2 linked regions of the Rhinolophus ferrumequinum genome follow. The protein of the gene in region 1 interacts with the protein of each later gene in a pairwise test. Links are inferred from orthologs where the notes say so. Each region holds a gene or a part of one and is shown on either strand. Other genes may lie near its edges.

What was found.
Region 2: the proteins of BBLN (region 1) and CEP290 interact in binary tests that used the Homo sapiens proteins (3 or more experiments, as listed by UniProt). The two-hybrid records come from large-scale screens. The link is inferred for Rhinolophus ferrumequinum from reciprocal best matches to the Homo sapiens genes BBLN and CEP290.

The regions. Positions count from the first base shown.
Region 1 is NC_046295.1:77,090,902-77,106,571, reverse strand, and holds BBLN (bublin coiled-coil protein), read right to left. Parts: upstream 6,019-15,670; 5' UTR 5,878-6,018; coding exon 5,799-5,877; intron 3,100-5,798; coding exon 2,927-3,099; 3' UTR 2,617-2,926; downstream 1-2,616. Other genes in the region: CIZ1 (cip1-interacting zinc finger protein), read left to right, coding at 634-703, 892-1,013, 1,342-1,560. UniProt on the Homo sapiens protein: Essential for intermediate filament organization in intestinal cells, interacts with intermediate filament and regulates intestinal lumen morphology.
Region 2 is NC_046293.1:80,222,927-80,237,999, reverse strand, and holds the start of CEP290 (centrosomal protein of 290 kDa), read left to right. Parts: upstream 1-7,375; 5' UTR 7,376-7,591; exon of another isoform or gene 7,592-7,749; 5' UTR 7,750-7,826; intron 7,827-8,111; 5' UTR 8,112-8,139; coding exon 8,140-8,241; intron 8,242-8,383; coding exon 8,384-8,461; intron 8,462-9,518; coding exon 9,519-9,588; intron 9,589-9,882; coding exon 9,883-9,929; intron 9,930-12,187; coding exon 12,188-12,331; intron 12,332-15,073. UniProt on the Homo sapiens protein: Involved in early and late steps in cilia formation. Its association with CCP110 is required for inhibition of primary cilia formation by CCP110.

The sequences.
Region 1 (15,670 bases):
GTGGAGGGCACTGCTAGGCGTGGTGGGGCTGATGTGCTGGAGTCAGACAGTCTCACCTGGAAGGGGCTTATGTCCAGCAGGTGAAATGAGGGGTCCTAGGTGACCTGAAACCCACCCACTCCCCAGGAATGAGGTCACTGCAGCACCAGGTAGGACCTTAGGGACCTGGCAGGGTGCTCACAGTTAAAAGTGTAACCAAGACTTGGGGTCCACCAGGGTTCACTACCCTCCTCCTCCCTAAACCAGCTGTGTGACCCTAGGCAAATAAGTTCATGTGCCTGGGCCTCAGTTTCCTGTTATGCAAAATGGGTGAACTATAGCAGGTTGTGAGGATTCAATGAGATGACGTGTGTGATGCGTTGGGCACCCCTGGCACGTAGTATGGCCACTGTGGGAGCAGGCCTTCCTGGAGGAGGGGGCTGGTGGAGCTGAGCCTAGGAAGTATGGGTTGGGCAGGGCACTCGGGAGGCAGGACCAGCATGTGCAAAGGCTCAGAGAATGCCACCCACAACCTCCTCGAAATCAAGGGGACATTGTGTTCAAGAGCATGGGCGGGTTCCTGGCCCCCGACCTGCATTCAAGGGGTGGGGTCTTGGGGAAGCCAGATCCGAGGCCACACTTGCATGTTTCCAGGTGAGGTCCAGAGATATATCCACAGAGGAGTGGAAAGGCTCAGAGACCTACAGCCCCAATACTGCATATGGTAAGACCCCAGCCCTGACCCCAACCTCCAGGGGACCCCCCACCCAGATCCCTGCCACGGCATCCTGGCCTATCCCCTTGTCTTCTCTTCTCCCACCTGGAGGGTGGGAGAGCACATGGACCCCTAAACAGGGCAGGACACCTGGCTGGCGTGGGGGATGTGAACACAGAGACCCTGCTGTCCCACAGGTGTGGACTTCCTGGTACCTGTGATGGGCTATGTCTGCCACATCTGCCACAAGTTCTACCACAGCACCTCGGGGGCGCAGCTCTCCCACTGCAAGTCCTTGGCCCACTTCGAGAACCTGCAGGTGACTCAGACTCTATTCGAGCTGATGGGGCTGATGGCCAATGGCCACCTCCCCGCTATGCTTGACCTCAGCCCCAGGGACACTCCACAGGGAGGCCCTGCCCACGGAGGGACAGAGCTGGGGTGGGGCCGGGCTCTTTCTGCTGTCGTTCTCGGGGGGTTGCTGAGGGACAGGCGGTTAGCTCCAGAGCTCTGGCCCAGGGAGGCTGAGCGTATCACACAGGGTCACATAGCACGTCCAATCTGTCTCAGCCTGGCTGGGGAAGCGGCTGCTGGCCAGCACACCAGGAGGGAGAGAGCCCTGCCTCACCCACACTTTCTATGTCCAGAAATACAAGAAGGCCAAGAAGCCCAGCCCCGCCACCACCAGGCCCGTGAGCCGCCGGTGTGCCATCACCGCCCGGAACGCCTTGACTGCTCTCTTCACCTCCACCGGCCGTTCCCATACGCAGCCCGGCATCCAGGACACAGCCAAACACCCCAGCAAGGTGACGGCCCAGCCCCCCCAGCCCCCACCACCCCGGCGCTCAAACCGCCTCAAAACCTGATAGAAGGAGCTCCCTACACCCACCCCATCTGGGTCCAGATCTGTGCTTTTAGGAGTCTGCATGAACTTGGACACGGTTGGTGTTTTTACTCAAAAATCCAATAAAAGGTAGTTTGGCTGTATAGTGCCCACCAGCACTTGTGTGTGGGGAGACGGGACGGGGAGCACCCCAGCCAGCACCCAGCCTCCAAGACAGTATGAGGGCGGAACCGGCCTAACCAGGGAACCTGGGATCACGAGGCACTTCACCTCTGAGCCTTGCTTTCCCTCTTAATAATGTATCAGGGCGAGGAAAGTACCTTCAAGTAAGGTCTCATTTAATCTTCACGGTGACTCTAGGAGAGACCTCTTGTTTCCTCCAAATTACAAATGAAGAAACTAAGGCCTGGCAAAGTCAAGTGACTTGCTGACGGTCATACATCGGGTGAGTGGCGAGGATGTGACCCCAGGCCGAAGCTCTGCACCCGTCCTAGCCTCTCTCTCCAGCTGGATCCTGTGGAAATTTAAGTGCAGGACGGGGGGGGGGGGGGGGGGCCCTCGCTGCTCCTCTGGTTCTGAGTTCATGGTTCACGCCCTTCTCGTCAGTTGACCTTACAATGAATCATCCGCGAATGTGGCCCAGCCTATGTTGGATCTTTACTTCTGCTATCTCCCCCTTTGGAAAGACCCCTGCAGAGACAAGCGGACCAACCCTATTATTGGCCAACTGGAGAGGGGCCGAGAGCAGGAGGGCGGTGCCCAAGGTTATACAGCATGTTTTGGTGTTGGTTGTCTTAGTGATAAGCCCTAGTACCCAGAGAAGCTAAGCTCATCACACAGCGTCACACAGCATGTCCGATGCTGTCTCAGCCTGGCTGGGGAAGCAGCTGCTGGCCAGGAGCACACCAGGTGGGGAGGAAGTCCTGACTTCACCTGCACCCTACGTCTGGAAATACACGAAAGCCAAGAACCGCAAGCCCACGTGTCGCGAGCGTGTGAGCAACGTCTGGAAAGTCTTGGCCGCTCTGTTCATCTGTCAGCCACAGGGGTCGTCATCCCAGGATACAGAGAGGCGCAGTGGTGTCGGAGACCTGTTTAATGTGGACCTTCAAAGCCTGGGCAGAGTGGAGAGTGCCCTGGAATTATTGGGCAGGCAGGCAAGATAGATGGGTCGCAGGCCCACACCTGGCCCCAGGAGGGGAGGCTGGCTGGTGAGCGCTGGCCCAGACACGCCAAGGGGAGTACCTGAAGGGTGGCCCAGGCAGGCAGACCCACCAGGGGACCTGTAGGCCAGCCCTTAAGAACGTATCTAAGTCAGGTGGTGAGTGCCCAGGCCAGAGCCTGGCCCCGGGAGGCAGGGTTGGGGCCTGGTTGGGGGATCCTGAAGCCTAGGGGCTGGCATCGCTGGGGGCCTCCCCGAGCTGCTGCTGGAACTCAAGGCGTGTCTGCCGGTTGGACTCAAGCAGCTCCTGGAGGCGGGCGTGGAGGTGGTCATTCTTCTCCTCCAGGTGGTCCAGACAGGAATTGATCTGGTCTAACATGGAGTTGATGGCAGCATATTCTGGAAGGAAGAGGAAAGAGAGCCAAGGTCCTGTATCTCCTCAGGGCTCACAGACATCCTTTCCCCATCTATTCCCCAGCCTGCCTCAGTGTCACCATCTGGAAAATGAGTGGATATCAAAGGAGGAAAGGCTTTGGAGACATAATAGTGATACTTTAGCACACCACATTTTTTCTAGGGTTACGGTGGTCAGGGAGATTAGCCAGTGTCCTGCCTGGGAAGTTCTGCCACATGCCAAGTTCTTGCCACATCCTCCATCTGCCTAGAGGCCAGAGCTCACATTCCTGAGTGGAGCAATCAAGGCCTCTGTCCCCAAGCAGGCCCATCTTTCCAGCTCTTCCATGGCCTCTGCCCTCAGGATAAAGCACCGAGAAGACTCCAAAGCCCCACTTCCCTCTCCAGCCTCACCTCCCATGCCTTTGCCTTTCCACTCTCACATCTGCCTTTGCCTGCCTCAGGCCCCTTGAACATGCCATTGCTTCTGCCGGGAATGTACTGTGTCTTGTCTTTCTACTCTCCTCCTGGATGAGTCCCACGTATCCTTCAAGTCTCAGCATGGATGTCGCCACAGGGAGCTCTCAGACTGGACCAGGCCTCTTCCTGATCCCCTTCCTCACACCTCCATGGCCCTCACCTCCGGACTGACTGCTGTGATTATCTGTGTGCTGGTCTGGCTCCCCTATAGAGCTCTGTGAGAGGTGGAATGGTCTTGTGTTCACTGCTGTTTCCCTGAGGCCCCACTGTCACACAATAAACATTTGTTGAATGAATGAATGGATGAATGAATGAATGAAGCCTCTAACTTTCCAGCCTTTCTCCCTTTGCTAAATTGTCCCTGCCGCCCAGAAGGCCTCAACCACAACAGCCATTTAAGGACCAGCTCAAAATACCTCTTCTTCCGAGAAGACTTCCATGGTCTCCACCAGAAACCGTCACTTCCTCTTCCACAGCCAATCCCGACCTGCCTCTCTCAGCAACACAATGTCCCTTAGGACCCAAGGTCTGGGCCTGTGCCCACTGCGGGACCCAGTTCTGAGCCAGCCCATGACTCAGATACACTCCACTGCCAGCTTGGAACAAAGGGGAAGTGGCTGACAGTGTTTGGAAAAAGCCAGGGCTGGAAGAGAGTGTCTGGGATATGGGTGCGAATGAGTGTGCCTTCTGGAGGAAGAGCACCCGTGACCCGGAGTTGGCACACCTCACAGAGGCCAGAGTCCTGGAAAGTCTGTTGGATCTTACAATCCAACCCCCTTGTGGCACAGATAGGGAAACCAAGGCCCACGGAGGTGGCAGAGCCAACTTGGGGAACAGGAACATTTGGGTTTCAGCTCCAGCTCTGCTCCATCTCAGCAAGTTACAGCACCTTCTAGAAAAGGGAGATAAAGAACTAGGTATCTGTGAGGTCTCAAATATATCAAGAACTCAGAGTCTGGCCACAGAAAGTACTTAATAGGTGGTCATTATCAACATGTCACATTTTGTGTCCTGAGACACAGCCAGGAGGATGGGGGAGATGGGTGTCTCCATACCACTGGGGCAGGTTTTATTTGCATCAAGGGTATGTTCCAGTTCCAAGCCTTTGCCTCCCTCCTCCCGCTGTGCTAAGACCTGTGAATCTGCCAGCATCCACTCAATGTGACTCCTGGGAGGCCCTTCCGGACGCTCCCACCACAAGTGCCAGCATGATTACACACATCTGGCCACCGCTCACCAGCAGTGCCTCGGGCAAAGTGGCCAGCCAAACACTTACCCCTGTGGGAGGTCTTCAACCTCTATTAAATGCAAACCCTGGGTGATGAAAGTGTTCTAAAACTAATATAGTGATTGATGCACAACTCTGGATATTCTAAAGCCCAACTAATTGTACAATTTAAATGGGTGAATTGGATAGTATGTGAATTATAGTTCAATAAAGCTGTCACCACAAAAAACACAGATTCCATACTTACCCCACATTTACTAAGTCCTGCACTCTTAAGTTAACGCATCAATTTTTATTACACTAAAGAGAACAACCACTTACTGAACACTTGTATGCTAGGAACCTACTAAGTATTTTCCATTCATTTTTCTATTTCATCCCGACACATCTCAATGCAGGAGACGCTAATCATTATTTTACAGATGGGGAAACTGGGGCTCCAGAGGGTGCGAAGGGAGTTGATGGTTCTCTCTCACAAAACCTCCCCTCCCACCTCCCGCAGTGCTGTGCACTGAAACATGCTAATTTGTAAGCAAGTCACATTCGCTAGGGCTCCAGGCCACACCAGAAAAGGTGGTGGGGGATGCTGACTCAGCAAGGCGGGCGCGCCCACCCAGACAGCCCCTTTGGCTGAGCCAGGAAGGTCCACCGGCCCCGCCCCCTAAGGAGCCTCCGTCCACACACGGGCTGAACGAAGTGGCTGGAGCAAATCTCAAAAAGGCGAGTGTCCCTGGAGAGGCCTTAGTCTCCCCATCTGCAAAACGGGGGGGGGGGGGCTGTCCACAGTTCTCGAATGCCGCTGCCGTTTCCAGGGACGCACTCGCAGGTGCTCGCCCTGAACCCAGAGACGGCACCTGCAGCTGCAACCCACCCAGGGTCGGGGGGTGTTGAGAGGGCTCTCCGGTCCCTTCCAAGCCCCTATCCCCGCACCTACTCCCCTTGCCAGGAAGGTACCACTGAGAAAGCAAAGGTCGTTTCAGCAGTCCCCCTGGATCACCTGCTTCCCCGAAGCCGTCGTCCTCTCCTTCCGCGCCCGCCTCCACCGGTATGCCCAGGTCCCCGTTGGGGCCCGACATTGCGGGCTCGGGCGCCGCAAGGGCCGCAAGACGATGAAACACTGCGACCGTCACGCCGACAGCCGGCGCCGGGCGGAAGGTGGAGGCGACCGATAGACTTCAGGGCCGGAAGGGTGGAACCCCGCCTCCGATTGCGGCCTGGCGGCCGGGGTCCCGCCCTCAAGGCCGGAGTTTCGCGGCCCGAGCTCCGCCCCGCCCCGCCCACAACCAGAACTCCGCTCCCGCCCACCGTCAGGCCCCGCCCCAGAGCCCCGCCCCACGCTGCCTAGCAGTGGAGCCCCGCTCCTCTCCCAGCCTCCGGGTGAGGCCAAACCGGGGCTGCCCGCCGAGAAACCTAGATGGTGGAGGCTCGGGTCCTCAGCAAGGGCGAGCGAGCTGGGCAGACGGCGGGGCAGCCTGGGACCCTCGCCCTGTCCTTTCCTGCCGCTGGGGACCTGCAGATGGGTGAGCCGACGCCTGCCGGTGGGCGAAAACTGAGTCGTGTGGTTTCTAAGGTCCTCTTATGACTTCAGGAAAATTTTCTTTCAGTCGTGGTCTGTGTGGCAGAGTGCTGCATGTGGCTGTTGGTGAAGGAAGGCTGCCATCATTCCCCACCTCTTTTACCAGCTGGGAAAGGGAGGCCTGTCCCAAATCACCCAGCTTGCAAGAGTCGCTCCTGAGCTGCGGTGTGAGCGCCGCCAGGGGCCCAGCTTTGAGTGAGGCCCATGTCCCAGGGGAGAAGGGCTCACTTACTGGAACTACAGTAGCTTCACCACCAAGAGACCCCAGGGCTGCTGCAGCCTGGTCCTGATCTCACACTGGTTGTTGGTAGGCCACCCTCGGGATAGGGGTCAGGTACAGTTATGTTCCTTGACTATGATAATGGAGAGGGATCTTCTTTGTCCCAGAAGCTGTCCCACCATTTCACCTGAGGAAGGTGGCAGTGCGGTTGAATCCACAACCTGTAATCAGGGCCACCACTAACTTGCATATGGGCAGTGCCTTCTTTTCTTTGAATCAGGTTGAGTAGAGGTGAGACCTCAGCCAAACCATTGCCCAAAAAATGTCAGTGACCGGCCGAAATGTGTGTCGTTTTAAGCTGCCAGTTTGTGGTCATTTGTTATAGCAGCAATAGGAAACTAATAAACCAGGTGACCCTGGGGGAAAACACAGAGCCCATTTGTGTCCTCACAGTTTGATCCTGGAAGGCCCAGCAGCCCCGGGTGGTGACGGGAAGCTGCGTTGCTTGGGTCAAGGCAGAGAAACTGTCTCTGCTGCCCAAATCGGAGTCCAAGGCCAGGCTGGCTTGGTGCAGCTTCCACCCCTCAACTAGTGGGGCTCTGGCCAGTTGCCCCCTGGGTGCCCTTCTTGGTGTGGGGCTTTCTGGCCGTGGGCATAGCCCCATCCCTCACTCAGCCCCGGCTGCACCAAGCTGGTCTCTCCCTGGAGTCTGGCCCAGATTTCTGAGGCTGCAGGAGCATCTTGTCGGGCTTGGCTCTCAGGCCTGTCTTGCTTCCTGGAGGCTGAGGCTGCTCACAGCTCCAGTTTCATCCCACTTCTCTGGCCAAGGACGAATGGTGTAGGTGTGCAAGAGAAGCCTGGGTTTCTTCAGAAGCTCACCCCTCTGGCCTCTGACTTTACAAGGGGAGAAGAAGCCGGAGAGGGAGTTCCTGTGTGTGATGCAGACAAACACGGGCTACAGCTGCAGCCTGTGGTGGACAGGGGCTTGTCAGGCGCCAGACACAGACCTAGCCAAGTGGTGGTACAGGCCTGGAGCTCTCAAGCCTTCTGGAATCTGGATTCCTCGCAGCATATTCCCCTCTTCGCCTCCCCTAGCCCTACTGCTGGTAGTCCAGAGGTCATCATAAAAGGGAGGTGTGGGTGAGGGACAGTGCTCTAAATGCAGTCAGCATGGACACTGTCACCCCCCAGTGGGGGCAGGTGGGTGAACACAGGTCCCAGAGGAGGCTCACAGAGGGGCAGGGGACCACCCCTGGTGACCCTCTCTGCCTGACACAACCTCAAGCTGGGCAGGCCTCTGCCCCACCCACTGTTCACCCCTCTTGCCCGGCTGCCATCATTTAGTATCCACAGGGGTCCTAGTGAGTTGTGGATGACAGCACCTCAGCCTCTCCAGTCCCCTCCAGCTGTCCAGTCCTGGCTGGGCTTTGCTATCGGACCCGTTGCAGTGGCCAAGGCATGAGGTGGGGCCCCATTAGTGTTTCCACTGGACTGGGCACCCCTTGGAGGCAGGGATATGTGAGGGCTGCCATTGGTCTGGGGGTGGGCCCAGGACTGGAAGCTAGGAAGTGTTCAGTCAAAGCTGGACTTGGGTTCTGTGGCCTCCAACCCTCACTGAGGACGGCAAGGGAGTCTGGGAATGATGCTAACGAGAGCTTATGCTTTGCCCTTCCCCTTCCCAGATGGCCCAGCGATCAAGGAACACAGACTGGGAGTTTGGGGGCATGTGTTTATTTAGCAGTTGAGGGGGGACTCCATCCGCAGGGTGGCCTGGGGAGCAGCTGGTGGGCCAAACTGTGAGAAGGATCTTCTGGCTCTCTGATTGGAGAATGGGTTGGTAGGGGCAGCTGGGTAGCATCCTGGGCGGAGGTCAGTATGAGGGCAGTGGGGGTGGAGAGAAACAGGAGGCACCTGAGAAGGACACAGGGGAGTAAAGGTGGCAGCAGTGTTGGGTGGGGGAGCAAAGGCAGTCCTGAGGCCCCCTCACCCTGCTTCACCTTGGTTGCCATCAGTCCCCTCCCCAGCCATACTCACCGCATGCTCATTCGTCATCCATCGATGCACTTGTCTGCAGGGGAAGAGAGTCCATCAGAATGGACAGGAATGTGTGTGTGTGTGTGTGTGTGTGTGTGTGTGTGTGTGGCCCCTGACCACCAGGGCCCCTGCACTGCCCCCAGGCTGCCCTAGGCCCGAGCCTGGCCCAAGAACAGACCTGAGAGTTCCCTTCAGGGATGTGGCAACAGGGCCAGACGATGGGGAAAGGAACTAGGAGAAAGGCCTGAAAAAACCTGGGGTCACCTGTTCTCTAGAGGAGGAAAGTGAGCCCCAGCTACCTGCTTGGGCACCCAGACCTCCTGCCCGTTCACCTGATGAACCCTGGCAGCCCCTCAGGCTGGGACTGCCCAGTGGCTCTTTGAGTGCCTGGCTGGAGCCCCTTGCCCAGGGCGGGCCGCCTGAAGACAAATGTACCTCCCAAGTCAGTGGTGAGGAAAACCCCAGGATGAGGGAGGAGGTGGCCCAGGACAGCAGAACCTGGAGTGTAGGGGAAGGTGGCCCAGGACAAAGGGGTGCCCCAAGACAGCAGGACATGGGGCAAAAGGGAGGTGGCCCCAGGCAGTGAGACTGGGGAAACTCGGACCTGGGCCTGAAACTCTCATCTGGGCAGGCCCAAGTTATCTGTCAGGGAAGAACACGTGGGGCCCAGAACCCGGGGGGCTCCACACACCCCTAGCTGGTGCGTGATCTTCCTGAACCCAAAGTGGCTCCAGTGACTGGAGCAGGGGACCAAGGCCCTCCTCTCTCCTGGAGCAGCGTCAGATGTGGACAGGCCCCGTGTCCCTTTCTCCTCTCCCCAAATGACCATTACCGATCGGGACAGGAAAGAGGATGTGGTCATCAGTGAGGCCCAGAGATTTGGTGAAGCGGATGAAGTCCTCCTTCAGTTCAGGGGTCAGCTCCTTGGTCCTCCCTGTGGCCAAGATGGCCGTAAGTGGCCGGCAGACACTCCATAAATATTGTTGAGTGCACAAATGAGCCTCAGCGCCCTTCCTCATGGAGGGTCTGCAGAAAGCCCTCTCTCCTCCCCAGGGCTTGGAGCGAAGCTGATGGGCTGGTTGGGGGTGAGCCCCTCCAGTGTGACCAGGAGCTGGGTCCCGGACGGGGTGGGTGAACACCCACCATAGAGGGTGATCTTGAAGTTCTCCTGGTTTTGGGAAACTGCCTTGAAGAACACCACGGCAAACTCATTATAGTTGGTGGTCACCACTCGCACAGTGTAGCTCTTTAGATTCGGGTAACCTGCGGGGTGGAGAGAGGGGTCAGCCCTGGCTGGGAGGATGGAGCAGCTCCTTGCTACCCGGTTCCCCGCCCAGGACAGCATCTATGTGGAGGCACAGGGAGGTCTGTGTCCCCTCTGGGCGGATCCCGCTCCCCAGGAATTCCAACCCCAGGGCCCACATCGTTCAGGACTCACCCTTAATATTGCCCAGGTTGAATTCGCCAGGCTGGGAACTTGGGACAAAAGTTCTGATAAAGTAGTCACAGTTCTGGTTCCTGTGGCGGTAAAAGATGTGTGGGTGAGAGGGAAGACACACAGGCGTGGACCCCCTGGGCTGGATGAAGTGGGGGTCAAGGCTGCAGCTGAAGGGGCCAGGATTCTGATTCTGGAGGGGCCAGCCCATCCTCTACCACAGCAGGAGGCCCAGGTCTCCCCCTCTGAGCCCGTCTGGGCTAGCTGACGTGCTCAGACCCTCCCTCCAGCGTCCACTGTCCTTCTGTCTTCAGGACTGTCTCCCCCTGGTGGCCCTCCCTATATACTATCCTCTGCACCCCAGGCATTTGTCTCCTATTCTTATCTTTCTGTTTCCTTCTCTGTGACCTCTCCTGGGGAATTGACCTACCAAGGTTCTAGTCGGCTCCATGCCATGGACTCCCCTAGCTCTTGTGCCAGCCCTGACCTCTCACCCTGTCCCTGGCACCCCAAAGCTGATCTCCCCAAACCCGCTCTTCTCCTGCCTCTTGCTCCACAAGTGCTCTAGCCCCAATCCCCCAGGTGCGAGAGCCAGAAACCCACAGGAGCTGGGTGAGCCCTTGTGTCCCGCCAGTCCTCTCCTCACCGGCTCCCTGGGGTGCCAGTGCCTTAGGCCCCTGGCATTGTGGAACCTGCCCCCCTCCAGGCTGCTCACAAGCCCCTGCCCAGGGCAGCCTGGCAATGCCATGCTTCTGCCTGAAGGAGAGGCTCTCTTCGAGTCTACCAGCCTCTGCTGTGAACCCCCCACATGTCCTGCCAAGGTAGGTTGGCTTCTTCAGGGCCCAGCCCGAAGCCACCTCCCTGGAAGCCCCCAACTGAAGTCCTGGGTGGGGTTCCAGGCTGGGTCCAGTGAGCCTCTTCCTACCCAGGACACCCCTGCTCCCTCTGTCTCGTTTCCTGAGGACTGTGGCCCTCCTTACCACTCTCTGTATGTCTGTACTGAAGTGACCAGTAAATGCTGATTTAATGAAGAAGGGAACAGATACATAAATCCAATACCGAGCAGCAAGATGGAGGGAGGACTACCTGCCAGCCTGCAACGCCCCTTAGCCCTGACATCACTCTGCCCTCAGGCACTGCCAGGGCAGCCCCCCAGGTCCCCATGCTCCCCCAGGAGGAAGCGGCTCTCACTTGAGCAGGATGGAGGTGACATTGTAGCTGTGGTCTTCTTTCAGCTCGTAGGTGGTGGAGTACATCTTAAACTTGCCTTGTTCTTCTTTCGAAAATGCGTTCCCCGCCAGGCCCACCACGTACCACTTCCCCTGGAACTGCAGGGAGGGTGGTGATAGGCAGAGTGGGCCCCACGAGCCCCTCTACCTGGGCCCTAGGGCTCCTGACGGGGCCCTTAGGATCGGGCAGGAGCTAGAGGCCGTCAGACCAGGAAGGAGCCCCGAGTCTGGCAGGGACCCTTGGCAAGTGACCAACTGGCCCCGCTGAGCCTCAGTTTCCTTATCATGCAGAGGGACTGAAGATATTCCCATCCTGCATGTCCTATGGAGACAAGGGAGAGGGTGTGGACCAGGGAAGATCAGTGAAGTCGGCGTGGGTAAGGGGGCACGGGGCATGGCTTCCATCAGGGGACGGAAGGGCATTCTGAGCTGAAGCCTGGGCCCATCCTGCTTCCTAGGACTCTTTGCCTCTTCTTCCTTCTGCTCCCACCCTCCCAGCTGCCCCTCCAGGCCCCTTCCCTACCTGATCATCTTGGAAGTTGGGCTGCAGCGGGACCCTGAGCAGAGAAGGGGCTGGGATGAGGTTTGGGGTGGCGTCCTGGGCCTGGATCTGCAGGGCTCCCAGCAGGGAGAAGCCCAGCCACAGGAGACCTCGGGGCATGATTTCAGGGCTTAAGAAGCTGGGCAGCTGCTGGGCCTGCAGGTGGTGAAGGAGGAGGAGGTAAGTGAGGAGGCTGGCCGAGGGAACCCTATTTATGGTCCCCCTGTTTGCCGACTCACCCCAGGGTGGAGTGAACTATCCTTTGCCAAACTCAGGAAGAGTGAGGTAAGTACCGCAACTCCTGCCGAAACATTTGGCAGGATTCTTGTCCCTCATGGTTAGGATTGTGCAAGGTGGAGGAACAGGAAGTCCAGGGGAGTCGTGAAGGAACATTCCACAGAGCTCCACACCTCTGGCAAGGACAAAGGCTCCCCCAGTATGCTCTCTCTGCCCCTTCCCTCCTCTCTGGTTGGCCCTGTTCATAGTCAGGAGTCCTAATCTGGCTGAGACATCATCTCTGACCGCCAGGAACTCCTGCTTAGCCCAAGGCCAAGCTGGGTTCTGTGCTGCGAGAGCCCCCACTCCTGGCACCTGATGAATGCAAACAATGCCTTGCCCCCGTTTCCTGGTTCTTGAGGGACAGGGAAGGATGGGGCAGCTAAACGCGGATATTTGTGACAGAGAAGGGCTCTGTGTTGCTTGAGATCACGGGTCCCAGATCCTGCCCCTCCCAGGGGCCCCACACAGGCACTGGCACAGGGTGAGACCTCCCTTCCCCGAGGCAGACCTGGGAGGGCTCCCGCCTTGAGTTGGCCCCTCCCACCCTCCATGCCCCATTTGCAGCTGACCCCTCCGGACACAGACCCCAAGCTGGGCAATTCAGCCGCATAAAATAGCATGGAGGCTGCAGTCCCAGCTCCATGCTGGTGGGGGTGGGAAATGAGGGGCACACCTGCACTGGGTGAGGTAACCTGCGGGAATTGGGGCCTGAAGGCCAGCTTTCTACACTACTGCTCTGGACACCAAGTGCTTTGGGTCACAGAAAGAGCAAGGACTTGGTCTCATCCTTGACAGGTCATTGAGACTATGCACCATCTCTGGCCACAGCCTTGGTGCCCAGGCCTGGGCCCTGGAAGTGTTCCTACCATAGCTGATCCCAGCTTTGTCCTAGAGAGGAGTTTCCTCACTGGGGGTCTGGCCATCCCTGGGAGGTGGTGACGGGTCCCAGCCCCTGGGAAGTGTCTTCCAGATGTCAGCATGAGGACCGAGGCTGTCTAGCTACCTGCCCTGAGGCTGAATTGAGGATTCAGCAGCTTAAGGGAACTGACAGGAGCCCCACTGGCTCTATTCACCTGCTGCTAGGAAACCAGCACCCCCAGCCTGGGCTCTGGGGGGCGGGGGGCAGGCTCCAAGAGAAGTGGCTTTGGACAGGGTCCTGAGCTGTTGAGTAGGGGACAGCCTTGACCATCCTAAGGCAAAGAGGTCCCCTTAGGCTCTGCACTGCTTCCCTGTCTGGGTGATGAAAGAACAGGAAGTGGAGATGAACAAAGCTTCAGGGAACGATGTTGCCACCAAAGCTGCGTGCCCTTCAGAGGTGCCAGTGGCCACCCGCCATCCAAGGGCTCCTCCCCTGCTACTCTCTTTGACCTTAAAAGGTATCTTCAAGCCTGAGGTGACTTCTGGATGTGGAGGAAACTAACAGTGGAGCCCCAAAGAATTTTAACTAGGGGAGGGGCAGTGCCCTGGATCACTGGATGAAATATTCCAGACTCTGAAAGTCAGGGGGCAGAGTGGCCAACAATCCCTGTTATAAACTGGGAAGGTGGGTAAGGCTGGGTCTACAGCATGAGAAAACCGAGGCCAGATACAGGAGGGGAGATGGCCCAGCTCAGGGGCGCTGGCCCCCTGGGTACCGAGAGCTGTGCTGCAGATTCTGCGAGGCCACACATACACAGTGCCGGGGGCACACACACGAGGTGTCGCCACATAAGGGCATCTCTGAGTTTCTGACCAAACCCCCGCAGTGCCCATGCTTCTTTATTCTGGCTCCAGGCCTGTCCAGACCCACTGACTTCGTCTGTCTCTCTGTCATCATCTCTGTGTGGTCTTGGCCTTGGCTGAAACCTGGTACGGCCATCTCATCACTTCTTCCTCACATGGCTGCCTCCTGCCTTCTCTGCTGGCGTCACCCTGGAGGTTGGGCTGGTCCAGGATCTGAGCGAGGAGACGAGATCCGTCCAGGGATTTGAGCCTCAGCAGTGTACAGTGTCCCAGCCATACTTTGTGGGTGTTGTTGGGGGAAAGCATTGAGAGGATGTGACCACCAGTGGACCCTCGAGCTGGGCCCAGGCCTTTGGAGCCTCCTCACCTCTCCTGTCCTTGAAGGTTTGCTCTGCCCACCATTTGCACAGTGGGAGCCGTTGTCAAGCTCGCAGCCCCGAGAGAGCACTGTGGTGTGAGACCATCTGGATTGAACACGTGACTGAGCCCCATGAAGGCCTCTATAAACTTTAAGATTCTGGCGGGAGCGTGTGGAGAGCTACTCGTCTTGTAGCGCCAAGACAAGCCCCGTAAGGAAGTTTCCTCCATGGCTTATTAAACCTGCCACCTACCAATCGGGAGTGGCTGCCTCTTTCTTCAGTCTCTCCTTGCTCTCCGTGTACAGGGGCCAGTTTGTGAACCAGCTGGGATCCACGGACAGTCATGGTTTTATGGCTGGGGCAGAGGTCAGGCCAACAGGAGGTGGGTGCTGGGCTGGTTATAGCTGGAGGGCCGGGATCAGGGAGGATGCTTCTTGCGTTCTGCCTAAGGAAGAGAGCGGTCCTGCAGGCTGGGCCGGAGATAAAGGAGAAATGCTCTGCTCACACTCCTCAGAGTCTAGCAGGGCTTCGGGGGTAGGGTCAGCTCAACTGGGCCTGGGCCTCTGGCCAAGGAGGGGATTCTTGGGTCTCCGTGCCCGGGGCTTGGGGTCTCTGGGGCCCGGGGCTCTCAGAACGGTCTGCACTGTACACGTGGCACTGTGTGGGCAATTCCCCTTGGCCCCTCTCGTTTTCCACTGTGGCCCCTGGGCTGCTCCACCAGCTTCTCTCTCTCTCTCTCTCTCTCTCTCTCGCCCCTACAAATGTCCCAATGAGGCCACAACAAGCCACACAGAAACTCTGGGGCCAAGCCCCTCCTGAGAGAAGCCAGGGCTGGGCCTTCCCAGTCCTGCTCTGGGTCCCCTTTAGCAATGGCAGGACCTTAAACACCATCCACACCTGGGTTTCTCTGTGGCAAGGAGCCAGGAGAAGTCTGGCTGCTCCAGACCTCCCCCACTGTCTCTGGCAGGTGGCTCTCCCCTTCCATACGCCCGACACACAGGGACCCAGGCCCCATGCCTGGTCTAATCCACCCAGGAAGGCACCTAAGTGTTCTGTGTACTTACTGCATCTCAGGAATCCAGTCTAACCCCCTGGACTGGTTTCTGGAAGCTTGTGAGCAGTGGTTAGTCCAGCTACAATGCCTGGGGCAATAGCAATGCCCTGTGACTGGCTAGAAGGTCTGGCCAAGATGTGCCCGGGTAGGGGTTGACTAGGCTTCTTGGGGCCACACTGGGGAGAAGATTCTAAGCGGATGCCCTAGGAGGCATCATGGCACCAGGAACTCTTGGGGTCCACAGATGGGCCGTCCTTGGCCCTGCAGGTCCAGACACCCAGGAGGGGGAAGGCCTGCTCTTCTAGGGCTTTGGCTTGATTCTCTAGTTTCCAGAAGCACCTTTCCAGCCCCTATGCCCCATCTCTCATGCCAGGGCTTACTTAAGAAATACCTGGTGGGGATCGTGCCTGCAGAAAAGCT
Region 2 (15,073 bases), on another chromosome or scaffold:
CTCTACTCCCACAGGTGTCTTTTTTGGGCAGAACGTCAGATGACTCCCCAGCTGGGCTCATGAGCATGCACTAGCACCAGCTCTCTCCCTTTTTCTCGTTACTAAACTCCCTTGGTTAATCTTTTTAAATTCTATTATCTTGGCCCTTTATAAACTTGGTATGGATGCGGGGTTTAAGAAATACCAAGTGGGTTGATTAATGAGGTGCTAATCTTTATCGAGTGGACGGTATTGTAAAATGTTTATTATTCATGATGACTACTATTACGGTAAGTTTTATGTGTCAACTTGTCTAGGCTACAGTAGTAATACTACCGTGTTTCCCTGAAAATAAGACCTAACCGGAAAATAAGTACTAGTATGATTTTTCAGGATAACATCCCCTGAACGTAAGCCATAACGCGTCTTTTGGAGCAAAAATTAATATAAGACCCGGTCTTATTTTCGGGGAAACACAGTACTATTCAAACTCTAACTTAGGAGTTGCTATGAATGTATTTTGTAGATGCAGTTAACATCTACAATCAGATGACTTCAAGTAACGGAGATTATATTCCATAATGCAAGTGGGCCTCACCTAATCAGTTGAATCACCTTAAGAGCAAAACTGAAGTCACTCTGAGGAAAAAACTCTACCTCAAGACTGCAGCATCAGGTCCTCCTGGAGAGTTTCTAGCCTGCCAGCCTGCCTACTCTACAGATTTTGGACTCACCAGACCCATAATACTGTAATTCCGTTGTCTGAAAGAAGTGGCTTTATTTGACATAGATACTGTGTTTCCCTGAAAATAAGACCTAGCCAGACCATCAGCTCTAATGCATCTTTTGGAGCAAAAATTAATATAAGACTCGGACTTATTTTAATATAAGACTCAAACCTATTTTAATATAAGACCCGGTCTTATATAATATTATATTATATTAGATCCGGTATAATATAATATAAGACCGGATCTTATATTAATTTTTGCTCCAAAAGACGCATTAGAGCTGATTGTCTGGCTAGGTCTTATTTTCGGGGAAACACGGTACATATTTCTTCTGCTGGTTGTGCCTGGGGTCACTCATGTGCTTATAGTTAACCTGTCCGATTAAAGCTGGATATCTAAAGGGGTGGGGGTCTCAGCTTAGAGAGCTGGTCTCTGCTACTTGTGGTCATATCCTTTAGTAGGTTAGCCTGAACTTTAAATGGTGATCTCAGGAGAACAGGAGGGCAAGTCTTAATGCACAAGCTCTTTTCAAGTCTCTGCTTAACTGCATTTTTTTTTTTTTTACTATCAACCAAGGAAGTAAACCTAGAATCAATGTGAGAGAAGTTATAAAAGGGCCAAGATAATAGAATTTTTCAAGATTCCCCAAGGGACCATATTATGAGAAAGGGAGAGCTAGTTCTCATGCATGTCGTAAGCTCAGTTGTGGAGTCATCTTAGGCTCTGTCCAAAAGAGCTACCTGTGGTAGAGGGTGGAGGAAAGGGAGGGTGATACATAAGGGCAGAGACAGAGGGAGGCATGATTCACTGGGTGCCATTATTGCCACAACGTAACACATCACTGTTAAATGTTAATTGTGGGATTGCTAAAGACTGGATGTTTGTGTTCCCCCCTACAATTCAGGTTAAATCCTAATGCCCAGTGTGATGGTATGTGGAGGTGGAACATTTGAGTGGTGATTACCTCGTTAGGGTGGAGCCCTCATGAGTGGGATTAGTGCCCTTATAAAAGTGACCCCTGGCCCCTTCTGCCATGTGAAGACACAGTGAAAACACACCCTCTATGAACCAGGAAGTGGGTCCTAACCAGGTACTGAATCTGCTGATCCCTTTGATCTTCGACTTACCAGCCTCCGGAACTGTGAGAAATAAATTCCTATTGTTTATAAACCACCTAATCTAAGGTATTCTGTTAATAGCAGCATGAACAGACTAAGGCAGGGAATTTCAAGTTCTTCTCCTAGGAACATAAGCATATTCACTGATGCATATCTGAGTAGATGGGATGACTAACTTATGTTTGCTTACAAAAATGGGATGTCACTACATATGTGCAAAAAATCCAGCAGCAGATGAAGACCACAATTGTGGAAAAAATAAACCTGTAGGAAAATTTGATCAAATCTAGGAATATTTAGCCTGAAAAGGAGTCTTCTCCATTTAATAATTTTATTTTATCTTTTTGAATAAGAATAATTTACTATATACTATTACTATTTTATAATTCATAAAACCTTGGCCTGCAAAGTCTGCATTCGCACTGATTCTTACTAATCTTTCCAGTCTCCTGAAGTTGAGAGAAGACAAGTGTCTGCTTGTTGCACAATTATTCCTCTCCATGAGAACAAGGCCAAACAAAACACTTACTATACACAGTGGATACTAAATTTCTGTGGCCTTGCATTTTTCTTTCTTTCTTTCTTTCTTTTTTTTTCAGACATGAGAAAAGCAAGCTCATTTTCTTGATAAGGCGCAAAAAGGCAATGGAACTAACATCTAAGGAACATAGGTTGGCTGGTAGAGAACAGAGGTAGCAATTATAAAAAGCAAGTCTTTCTTGTGTAGTGATTTTGGTCAGATAAAACTGCTCATAAAATCAAAAGAAAGAAGGCAGGTCCAGGCAAGCATTCCTATAATAAGGCCATTTATAAAATGTCACATAAATCCCTTCTCTTGGTGAAAACTGACTGATACAGAAAATCTGATGAAAAATAATGGTGAATTTAGGTGATTTTCCTCAAAATTATACAGAGTTGACTGAATTAGATCTTCAGTTAAATTTTTTAATTCAGTTAAGTACAAACATACTATAATGCATTAGGACCTAGACCATAGCTAACTCATTTCTGCTGTATCCCCAGGATTTAGCAGTGTGTACAAGCTCAAAAATATTTTTAGAATAAGTAAAATAATGACATTTAAGCAACATTTTGCATTTTGTCAGGACTATAATTGAGATCTGGGTTGCAATCTTAGCTTCATTAATTATTAGGAAATTACTTAGCTTCTTTGAACCTGTTTTTCACACTTGAAAAATGAGAAAGGACAGTCTCTTTAATAAATTATGTTGGGAAAACTGGACAGCCACATACAGAAGAATGAAACTAGACTCCTGTCTTACCCACTCATTAGATCAGGTACCTTGAGTTGTTGGGAATATAAATGGGAATAAGAGGGTGAGGGGAGTAGAGGGTAGAAAAGACCACTACAAACAAAACAAAACTAGCAGATGAATAAATAGAAAATAATAATTACAATAAATTAAGAAAAATAAGGTGCTGTAGTAGAAATAACAGATTTCTACTATGAAAATATACAGTTGAAGCATAGTATATGACATAGTATGTGCTCAACAAACACTAGATTTCATTCCTATCTTCCCCTGCTAAATTATGAATTAAAAACACTGAACATGAAAAATATTTAATTCAACTTCTTGAGTAAACAAAGTTGCATAATTAGAATATGATAATGTTTCATATAAATAGCAAGATCGATGTACAAGCACTTACTTGACAGTATTGTTTCCCAGCATGCATGAGGAGGCAGCATAGCACTTACAAACGTCCTCCAGCCACAAAGATCTGTGTTCAATCACACTATTTAAGTTTGAACAGAGTACTTAACCTCTCCAAGCCTCTGTTTCTTAACTTAGTTGGAAAATGATGACAATATGGGGTCAGACAATTAAGTTCGCGAACTCATCCTAGAAAAAGTGCTATAGACCTCATTGCTGAATATCACTGTGGTCACCTTCGAAGTACTCCCCTTGGGAAGCTGTGCACCGATGCCAGCACCTAGTCCACCCTTCAAAGCAATTTTGGAACTCTTTTCCTGGAATGGCCATCAGAGCTGTCATTGTACGTATTACCCTTGATGTCCTGAATGTCATCAAAATGTCTTTCTTTCAATATTTCCTTTCTCTTCAGGTAAAGAAAGAAGTCATTGGGGGACCGATCAGGTGAGTAGGGAGGGTGTTCCAATACCGTTATTTGTTTACTGGCTAAAAACTCTCTCACAGACAGTGCCATTGTTGTGATGCAAGAGCCATGAACTGTTGGCGAAAAGTTCAGGTCTAACTCTTTCACGCAGCCTTTTCAGCACTTCCAAATAGTAAAGGTGGTTAACTGTTTGTCCAGTTGGTACAAATTCATAATGAGTAATTCCTCTGATATCAAAAAAGGTTACCAACAGGTTGTGACAAGTTTGCGAACTTAATTGTCACACCTCATATAAGGACCTATTTCATTGGATTGCTATGAAGATTGAATGAGATAATGACAAAGCTATAGCAAATAGAACAGCATGGTATTGGTAGAGTAGGTAGAAAGGTAGAAATGAGCAGGAGAAGGAGGGAACTAGCCCTGGTTATAAGGCCCCTTGCAGCTGCTCCTACTTATCAAAAAGATATGTCCTTAGAAGCAAAAAGAAATGCTGGAGAAGGAGGGAAAACAACCCGGTTATCAGAATGTACATCCTGCTTCTTTGGACCATACAATTATAGTTTGCCCCTTTTTAACGAGCTTCTCAAATACATCATGGGAAATTAATGGGTTCACACTTGCGCCCCAGGAAACAACAGGAAGAGAGGATGGACACACCCGCAGAAAGAGAGAAAGACACTGGACAAGGGGAGGAGGAGACAATTCTACCTATAGAAAGAAAAACCCTCACACAATGTAAGGAGGCTGCTTCCTTCTCTTGGGTCAGCGGGCTCCATGTCTGGGAGTGTACTTGCTTTTACTAATAAACTGCTTGCTGTCCTACGCTGCACCAATTCGGCCTCTTGACTGAATTCTTTCCTTTAAGACAAGAACCGAGGAAAAACGTCACTCCCAGTAACAGTACTGGTATAAAAAACACACACATAGACCAATGAAACGGAATAGAGAGCTCAGAAATAAACAGAGGGACCAAGAATATACAATGGGGAAAGGAGAGTCTCTTTAACAAATGATGTCGGGAAAACTGGACAGCCACATGCAGAATGAAACTAGACTGCTATCTTACCCCACTCACAAAAATCAACTCAAAATGAACGAAAGACTTGAACATAAGTCCTGAGATCATAAAACTCCTGTAATAAAACAGGGGATAAGCTATTTAAGACTGGTTTGGGCAATGGTTTTTTGGATTGGACCCCAAAAGCAAAGGCACCAAAAGCAAGAATAAACAAGTTGGACTACGTTAAACTAAAAAGCTTCTGCACAGCAATGGGAACCATAAACAAAATGAAAAAAACAAAAACAACCAACCTATCGAATAGTAGAAAATATTTACAAATATGTATCTGATAAGGGGCTAATAAACAAACTATGTAAAAGACTCATACAACTCAACAGAAAAGGAAAAAACCCCAAATAATCCAATTAAGAAATAGGCAGAGGAATATCTTTCAAAGAAGACGCAAACTGTCTTAATGAAAAGGTTAATGAAAAGGGGCTCACCACTAGTCACCAGGGAAATGCAAATCAAAACCACAATGAAATATCACCTCACTCCAGTTAGAACGGTTGCTATCAAAAACACAAGAGACGAGTGTTGGCAAGCATGTAGAGAAAAGAAAACCCTGTTTACTGTTGGTGGGAATGTAAATCGGTGCAGCCACTATGGAAACTAGTATGGAAGTGCCCTGAAAATGTATGAAGTGCCATATTATCCTGCAATTCTACTTTTGGGTATGTGTCTGAAGGAAATGAAATCACTATCTCAAAGAGATACCTGCACCCCCATATTCACTACAGATTATTTACAACAGCCAACCCATGGTAAGAACCTAAGTGTCCACCGAGGGCTGAATGGATCAACAAAACGTGGCATATGAACACAACGGCATATTAATCATCTATAAAAAGAAGGAAATCTTGCCATTTGCATGAATGGGCCTCAGGAGTATTATGCTAAGTGAAGTAAGTTAGACAAAGAAAAATATTAACTATCTCACTTAGATGAGGAACCCAAAAAAACAGGATTCACAGAAACAAAAAGCAGACTGGTCAAAAGTTACAAATTTCCAGTTATAAATAAGTTCTGCAAGATGTAATGTAGAACATGGTTTTTTTAAAAAAGATAATGAATAGTATGTGACATACTATCTTACAGTAAACGATTAGACAGAAATGATCATTCTCAGAAATCTGATGACTGTCTTTAAATGTACCTCAAAAATCCGTATTTGTTTTTATTTTCTACTAAGCTATGAACCACCCATGGTTTGGAAAGAAATCTATTATTTATTTTCAAAAGGAAATTTTAGTATCAACTATAGTAAGAAAAACCAAAGTGCTTAAAAAAAAAAAAAAAAAAAGATGAGGCGCTGGTCCAAACAGTTGAAAAATGCCATTTAGATTTCAAATCTATGGCTCCTTAACAAAATTACCTAGTGGTGTATTATACTCCAGAATGGCTGAGAGCAGCCGGATGAGCAAAACTTGCACAAATACGAGTTGTACACACCTGAGAAGGCACCTTCCTAGAAGGGGAGCCTCGGGAACCAAGTAAGTGACAGCAATAGGAATGCTGAGTACCGAGGCTCCTTCTCTCTCCACCCCTAGCAGTGGCCTAGACAAGTTCTAACCTCTCTTTTCTAGAGCCTTCAATCTACACTAACTCCTCAGCCTTCCAAGTCCTTCAAACCGCGAAGGTAAAAGTGCTACAGGTAAGGGGGGCGAGGTCGTAGGATGCGGTGTCGTGTCTTCTCAATCCTTCACTCGCCCCCAAATCAGGACCTCGATTGCACGGCCCCCACTCCACTATACAGAGCCAGATTCTGACACCAAAAAAGGCTAAAACTTCCCCCCTCCCGCCCTTCTTCTTACAGAGGGCACCACCCGGGGCGTCCCTTGCAAACGCCTAAGGAGAAGGCGGGGTCGTCCCACCTCTTCAGACTCCGACAGGGCCCTTCCTCCCCAATGCTCGGAGCTGCTGTAAGCCAGGACCGCTCCCATCAACACCTCCCCCGCCGCTGACCCACACTCTGACTTCACCTGGGAGCAGTTCCACCGAGGGATGGCTTAGGGAAACCTCAGAAAAAACGGGCCAACGAGCGACGCCACCGAAGGCACAGTCATGGTCAACAGTGCAGATGCGCCTCAGTCACTGCGCCTCCCGCCTCCCGATCTTTACCCCGCGGCCCGGTACAGTCGCAGCCTCCCGCTTTGCATGCCGGGAAAGGCCCGCCTCCACTTCTCAGAGACTTCAATTCCCAGGATGCACAAGCCTCCAAAAGCACTGCACTCTGGGACTTGGAGTCCTAAGCCCACGCCCTTCTCCTCCTCCTTAATACAGAGTCCCGGAACTCCTCTGGGGAATCTAAACGTAAAGCATCACCCATAGTCGTGAAATGTAGGCTCCGCATGCATCCGGGGCCTTGTTTTGGCCTTGACTGGGTGGGGAATGGTGTCGCCTAGCAGCCGCCGCCGCTCTTGCTGCTCGGGATCAGTTAGCTGGATCCAGCGTGGGGTTGGAACCGCGCTGGGGAGCGGTCAGGCGTGGCAGCCGGGTCAGGTCTGGTGGATGCGGTAAATAAGGAGCCGCCGCTGGTTGCCAGGCTTGGTGGGTGGATCCTGGTGAGGCGAAGCAGCGAATCTCTTCCCACTCAGGTTCTTTAAGCCTCAGGGCCCACACCAAATAGCCCATCTTCCCCGCCCCTTAGTCTTTGGTCCGCAATGCATCTGCCGTCTCGCTTCAGCCCTGGTTTCTCCTGCGCGACTGCACTCATTTCAGTCGTTTATGTATGCACTTTTTTTTAAACCCACAGTTGCTGCTTTTCCGAATCAAGGGTCAATTTCAGCCTTCCAAGCACTCCGCCCAATTAGGTGTTCGCGCGCCTTGGTGGTAAGGATCATGGAGAAGGGGACTCAGAATCTTAGTTCTGACCTAGATTAGTTTTAGCAAGGGAGCTGTCATACTTTATTTAGCCGATGCAATATCTGATGGTTTGTGCCGACTGCTATATTTTGATCAAGGCTGTTTTGCCCACTTATCGGTTATACTATTAAGGAGCCATAGTTATTTGCTAACACCGAGGTTACAATAATGTAATCTATAAACACTAAATTACTGTAAAAACAGAAACGCTGTTTCCCTTCAAAATGCTAATACCCATCTGTTTTGTTACAGAAGGTAAAGCGTTGTTAAAGAATTCAAGATGCCACCTAATATAAACTGGAAAGAAATAATAAAAGTTGACCCAGATGACCTGCCTCGTCAAGAAGAATTGGCAGATAATTTATTGGTTTCTTTATCCAAGGTGCTTAATTGATAAATAATACGTAGATACATCAACTATGATTAAGTTGTTCCTGAAATCACTGGATGGTATAACTGGAAGAATTCTTATATTTTGCTTAAGTGTTATGTAATATAAAATAGTTTCTTCTCTGTTTACTTAGGTGGAAGTAAATGAGCTAAAAAGTGAAAGTCAAGAAAATGTGATACACCTTTTCAGAATTACTCAGTCACTGATGAAGGTTTGTATGCAGTAGATTTTAATAACAGGTTTGACTATTAGAGAAATTCAAGAATCTGTTCTTAAGTGTTAATCTCTGTGAAAGTACTTTGTAATGTCTAAATCAGCACAAAAAGTAGATCTTCAAATGTGATTGATAATTTTAGTGTGCAAAAACATTGGTAGTTTCTGCTCTAAATTTCCTAAAAGAATGTGTGGGGGAAACAGAATGTGTATGTTTAAAAATAACGTAGGAAGGTCCTGTGTTAATTTTGTTAACAATGATGAGGTAGAAATGAAAAATGCAGATAACTACTATAGGGATTTGTTAGAAAAGGAAGAGATTTATATGTGAGAAGACCTCATAAAGGTCAAAGAGTGATGAGTAGTTTTAGGTAAGTGGAAGGCAGGGGTATAATGTTAAGGAGATTCTAGAGCTGGAGGTTACCATAAATAAAAACTGGTAATGGAAAATGTGTGTATTCTTTATATTGAGGAGACAAGTGCAGAAAGTTTATAGCTGGTCATAGAGGAAACAAATGTTGGGTATATATAATTTGACAGCTTTGTCAAGGACTTGAAGTGATATTTTATGCTGTCAGCCATTAAAGGTTTTTGAGCCACAATGATAGATACCAAAATATGCCTTGGGAAGGCTAAACTAAGTATGTTAATGGGACACATTGAAGGGAATTGAAGCTGTTTAGACATAACATGATGAAGGAGGTTAGACTTCAAATTATGGACTAGCATAATGACAATTAGAATAGAAAAAGAAGGTATAGTAGAAAAGAATAGAAAAAAAGATAATGGAAAACAAAGGGAAAAGTTGCAATACTGGATATAAGACTTGAGGATAAAGAGGAATCAAAGATGTTTCAAACTGTTAAGAATCTAGAAATTATAATCTTAAGAAAGAAAATCATGTATTCATTTAACAAATATTTGCCGAAGATCTCCATGTGATAGACATTGGAGACACTAAGTATTGGGATTGCAAATAAAATCCTTATTTTCAGTGCTTGCATTCTAGTATAAAGGCATATTGAAGTCACTTTTTTTTTTTTTTTACTGTTTAGATGAAAGCTCAAGAAGTAGAGCTAGCTTTGGAAGAAGTTGAAAAAGCTGGAGAAGAACAAGCAAAATTTGGTAAATGCCTTGGAAAAAGTTTATTATGATATTAGATAGTGGATTCCATTTATTCACTAAGCAATAGAGAAATTAACTTTGATGTAAGTCTGTAAAATGTATATACTCAATTTATTTTGAAAGCTGTTTCTAGAACTCCTATTTCACGGGTCTGGTGTAAATTTGTTATTTTTCTCTTATATTACCTTTTTACAGTCACAATGGACTCTTTAAAAATAATTTTATTGAAAAAATTTTAAAAGCTTGTTTTGATATAAATCTGACCAATTGAAACATTTCTTTTTTTTGAAATAGAAAATCAATTAAAAACTAAAGTGATGAAATTGGAAAATGAACTGGAGGTATGTCTTTTCATATTCCCTATGGTGTAATTTGTTGTTAATTTTATTATTTTGAATTATTAGTTTGATAATTTTGATAATTGTTGGCTGTAAAAATTACAAGAATGACACTGTATTCATAATTATTTGTTCAGTAATGTAATAAATGTAAAATATATATTTGTCATGTCTATTATGTACCTTAAATTCTATTAAGAATTGATCATCTAATTGTGAACAAAATAAAAACATTCAATAACCTCATGAAGCTTACAGTTTAGAGAGATATACAAAGGATTACTAGTAACTGAGGTGGAGCAAGGCACATTGGAATTTGAGGAATAGTGACAGAGGGTATAGTAGAAGTAGCTTTTGAGAAAGCCAGGATCCAAAATATGAAAGTATTGTTAAGGAACTAAATACATTTTGAGATTCCTGAAAATGTGGGGAGGAATGTGATACAAATAGGTTAGCCTGAAAAGAAAGAAGGACCTCTTTCCTTTGTAAGAGGAAGGGAGGAAGAATGGATATTTACAGAAGCCGTTGTTTGTGGGTTTAGTGACTGGGAGTTGAGAAGATGGAGAGAAGGTGATCTGCTAACTTTAAGAGTGGGAGATGTGTGGTCAGATTTTCAGGAAGTCAGATAAAGCTTGAGATAATAGTGAAGAATGAGCTGGAGATTGCTAGATCTGTAGTCAGACAATTTTGAGTTCAAATCCTGATTCTTCTATGTATTAACTCTGTGAACTTGGGTGGTTTAGTTTTTATTCCCTACTGTATATCTAGTGTCTAGGGAAATATCAACCATCCCAATAAATATTTATTAAGTGAAGTTTGAAGTCTGATCCATTGTGTGTTACTGTTTGGCCAGAGAGCTGGGGAGAAGAGGAGTCCAGGGATTGTAGGGTCCTGGAAGGTCAAAGGGCAGGTATCGTGGGAATAATGTAGGAGATATTCCTGTTTGGACAAGGTCCTGGTGTGGGGCCTGGGAGTAGGAGGCTCTGCTGAATTCAAGAAGCAAGTAAAAAAAAAAAGTAAGACCAAGCATGAAAGTTGTATACACACGGAAATTGTTTAGAGGGGCTTTTGATGAAAGACTGTGAGCAATATGCCAAAAATTCCTCAATGAACTTTGTGAGTGAGTGACTGGTATGTTAGTAGTTGGCTGCTATCATGAGTAGGTAGAGACTGGAAAGCTGGATATCATGTGAGGTTCAAAGCAGCAGTTTTTACAGGATGGTACAGGAGTGATAGTGTGGAAGTTGGAAGTGGGAATCAACACCCACTCTTGACCACGAAGTATATGGGATGTGAACGAGCACCTCCCAACTGAAGGACTTCCAAAGGAATTAGTATACTAACGGAGCCAATTGCAGTGAAGGCTGGGAGTTGGAAAGGATGATTCAGTAAAAAGGTTGAAGATGTGAAGTATTAATTTATCTTGAAAGGATTTTCAAGAGCACAATGGAAAGCTTTTGGAATGAGGGAAAGAAGGAGAAAAAATTGGTTGAGAGGGATAACAGAACTGTACAGTGAAGTGATCAATGTGAGACAGATTAGATGATCAAAAGATTTGATGTTTTGGACCATGTCCCAAAATAACAGGAAATGAAGCAAAATGGATGTCGTTGGCTTCAGGATTTTCAAGATAAGCTAAGTTTGGGCTGTCCAGTATCATAGCACTAACCACTTGTGGCTATTTACATTGAAATTCATTAAAATTAAACATTCAGTTCTTTAGTTGCACTGGCCATAGTTTCAAGTGCTCAATAGCCACATAAAGATGGTGGCTACTGTACTGGGTGTGCAGAGAACATTTCCATTATTTTAAAAAGCCCTGTTGGATAACACTGGTCTAAATAGTCTGTGGTACGAGGGAAAGGGCAAGTTAAGAGCACCAGAGGTCAATGACTGGGATGGAAGCTCTGGTGGTTTGTAGCCTGGTTTCAGAGCTCTGATGCTCAGGGAGAAGCTAGATAATTCATCACCTATGTTCTATGACTGGAGGGTAGTCTGGTACCTTAGCTCAGAGGCTATAACAGGTCCTGAGTGATTGACAATCAATTCTTCATAGCTCTGGGTGGATCAGGAAAAGCTTAAGGGCTGTCAGCCTGCAAACTAAAGCTAAATTTTTAAAAATGTTTCTTTAGCTAACATGATTTTAAACACCTGATGCTGATTATAATACACATGTAAAGTGAAGATAATTATTTATTGTTGATTCATTTGAATCCCAAATGTAATGGAATTAATTTATACTTTTGTTTTATTACTTTAAGATGGCACAGCAGTCTGCAGGTGGACGTGACACTAGGTTTTTACGTGATGAAATTTGCCAACTTGAAAAGCAATTGGAACAAAAAGATAGAGAATTGGAGGACATGGAAAAGGAGTTGGAGAAGGAGAAGAAAGTTAATGAACAAGTAAGGCACATTTTTTTGATGACTCTTAATTGTTCAATTTACTTAAAAAATTCCTGGTTATGCTTTTTATAATTATTGGTAGCAATATCAATTTTTATGACTCATGTGAAAATTGATGTATTCTTATCTCTAAGGTTTTATATCATAGTTCGTGTTGTCATCACATCTTGAAAGTATATTGGATCAGGTACTTCTAGTGACTATGACTTGGAGATCAATTCTCTATATTTGGAGGTACATTTTTCTCAAGACATTAGAATTGTTTACATAAAGTTGATGATTTGGTCTGGAAAATTAGTATGAAGAAACTAATAGGGATTCAAAAAAATGGATTTTCTTATTTGCCATAGTTTATTTTGGGTGAAAAGATTTTTTGGGGGGTATTTATTAATATGTTAGTATCAGACTTAGAAATTAATCTTTTAATGATGTATTCAATAATGATCAATCAGATTTGTTTTCAGGTATACCTCACCTTATGTAACATACAGGTTCTTCAAAAGTTGTGTGATGCCAGCATTTTATAAATCAATGCATATTTTAAATCACGACATGTTATCTTTTTATACAAACATAGTTTGATATTACCTCTTATATTATTCCTTGTTATTTATAAAATAATTCGTGCAATGTTCACTTAAATTTTGTTTGAGAAAAAAATTGTTTCCTGTAAATAAATTTGTACTTCCTATCAGAAAATAACATCTTTTTATTTTGCCTCAGCTGTCAGTAAACTTAGTACAGAATTTGCTGCCTAATTGTGGTAACTGTCTCATCCCTAATGCCCATAACTGTCCCATCCCTAGTGCCCGTAACTGTCCCATCCCACATGCCCAGAGGATTGTCCTACCTTTGTGTGCTGTAGAAGATCAATGTTGTAGTATATCCTGATAATCTTATTTCATCCATTGTTCTCTTGGAAATAGATGGTTATAAATTTTAAGTAAACAACAGTGATTATTAGGTGCGTTGCTATTTAAAGAGAATCCGTGATAAATTGATTTGTAAGGAAAAGCATCCCCATTTTAATATGTCTATTTTACTGTATAATTTGGAAGAGTTGTAATAGTTATGCTATCTCTACAGTTTTTGCAGTGGAAAAGTATGGAATTGATGCCACCTAAAAGTTAGGATTAAGGTCTTAGAGCATAAGACTCTGTAGAACATAACAAATCTATGGATTTCTTAATAATCATATAGGATCCAACCTATGATATGCAGGAAAATAATTGCTTAGGGGGATATCTGTGTGGTTTTCTGTGCTATTTTTCTTCTGTCTAGCCCATATGTTAGTCAACTTCTTATCATTCGTACCACACACCTTAGCTAATCAGAACTACCTGTTCATTAATATCTTAGGCTAGGTATTATCTTTATTCATAGGCACAAGCACAGAAAATCTGAATGTACGGCGTATGTACCTTTATAGTTGCTAGGTTCCTTGAGATAGAATGTGGGTAGGAGTTGCTTTGGCAATTTCTCTTTTACCCTTAACGAGTCATTCACTTTTACTGAGTGTTTACAGCATGCCAGAGAATGGGGTAGATGTTAAGGAGAATAGTGGGCAACTATATTCTGCTTCTCAGTGATATTCACTGTCAGTAATAAATATATAGGAATAACACATAGGAATATATAGGAATAATACAAAATAATACATAATACATAGGAATAATACAATATTCGGGGCATATATAAGTATATATGAATATTCTGGGCTACTCTGGGGAGGAATACTTAAATCAGTCATGAGGTTCAGGAAGTGATCTGTAAACTGAGACCTGAAGTAGGTCTTAGCCTGCCAGAAAGAATGGGATGACATGGTTAAGGAAAGGACGTTCTGAGAAGAAGACACAGCATTTGCTAATTAGAAGTAAGAGATAGTATGGTGTATTCAGGGAACTACAGTTACTCATTTTGGCTAGAACGTTGATAAAAATAGCTAGCGTAGAGTCCTTACTATGTGCCAGATATTTTACATGCATTAATTCATTATTCCTCCTTTGATATTTATTATATAAGATAGGTGACATTTTCCCCATGTTACAAGTAAAGAAACTGAGACACAGAAAGGATAAGGATAATGGCTCACGGTTACACAACTAGTAAGTGGTATAGCCATGATTTGAATTCAAACTTACTCAAGAGTCTGTGCTCTTAACCCTGTGCTGTCCTGCCTTCCATTTTTAACTCTGTGATCCTCTGGAGAGAGTAGCAAAAGCCAGTCCCTGAGGAATTTGGTCCTTTTTCTAAAAGAAGAATTTTGAACACAGAGATATTATGATTAGTTCTATACTTTTAAAGTTTACTCTGTTTGTAGAGAGTTGATTGTAGGGGGGACTAAGATGAATAAGGAGACATTTCAGGCAAGTGTGATGATGGACTGATTTAAGTAATGACTGAGGGGGATTAGGAACACAGACACATTTGAGAGATGTAGACATACGTGGACATGATGACCAATTCGGTGAAGAAGGATGGATGAGGAGTCCACCTAATTTTCTGTGTTGGGCCACCGGATAGGTGGAGACTGTCATTCATTTAAAAGGGACACACGAGGAATTTCTAAGGCTTGCAATTGTTATTTTGTACATGTTGAGTTTGAGGTCTTTGTGTATCTGTGGATATGGAATTCAACAGAGACACTGGGTAGATGATAAGGATTTGAGGATTATCAGCCTAGATATTGAAGCCATAGAAATTGCAGATCACTGAGATATAGAAATGTCTAATGAAATAGGA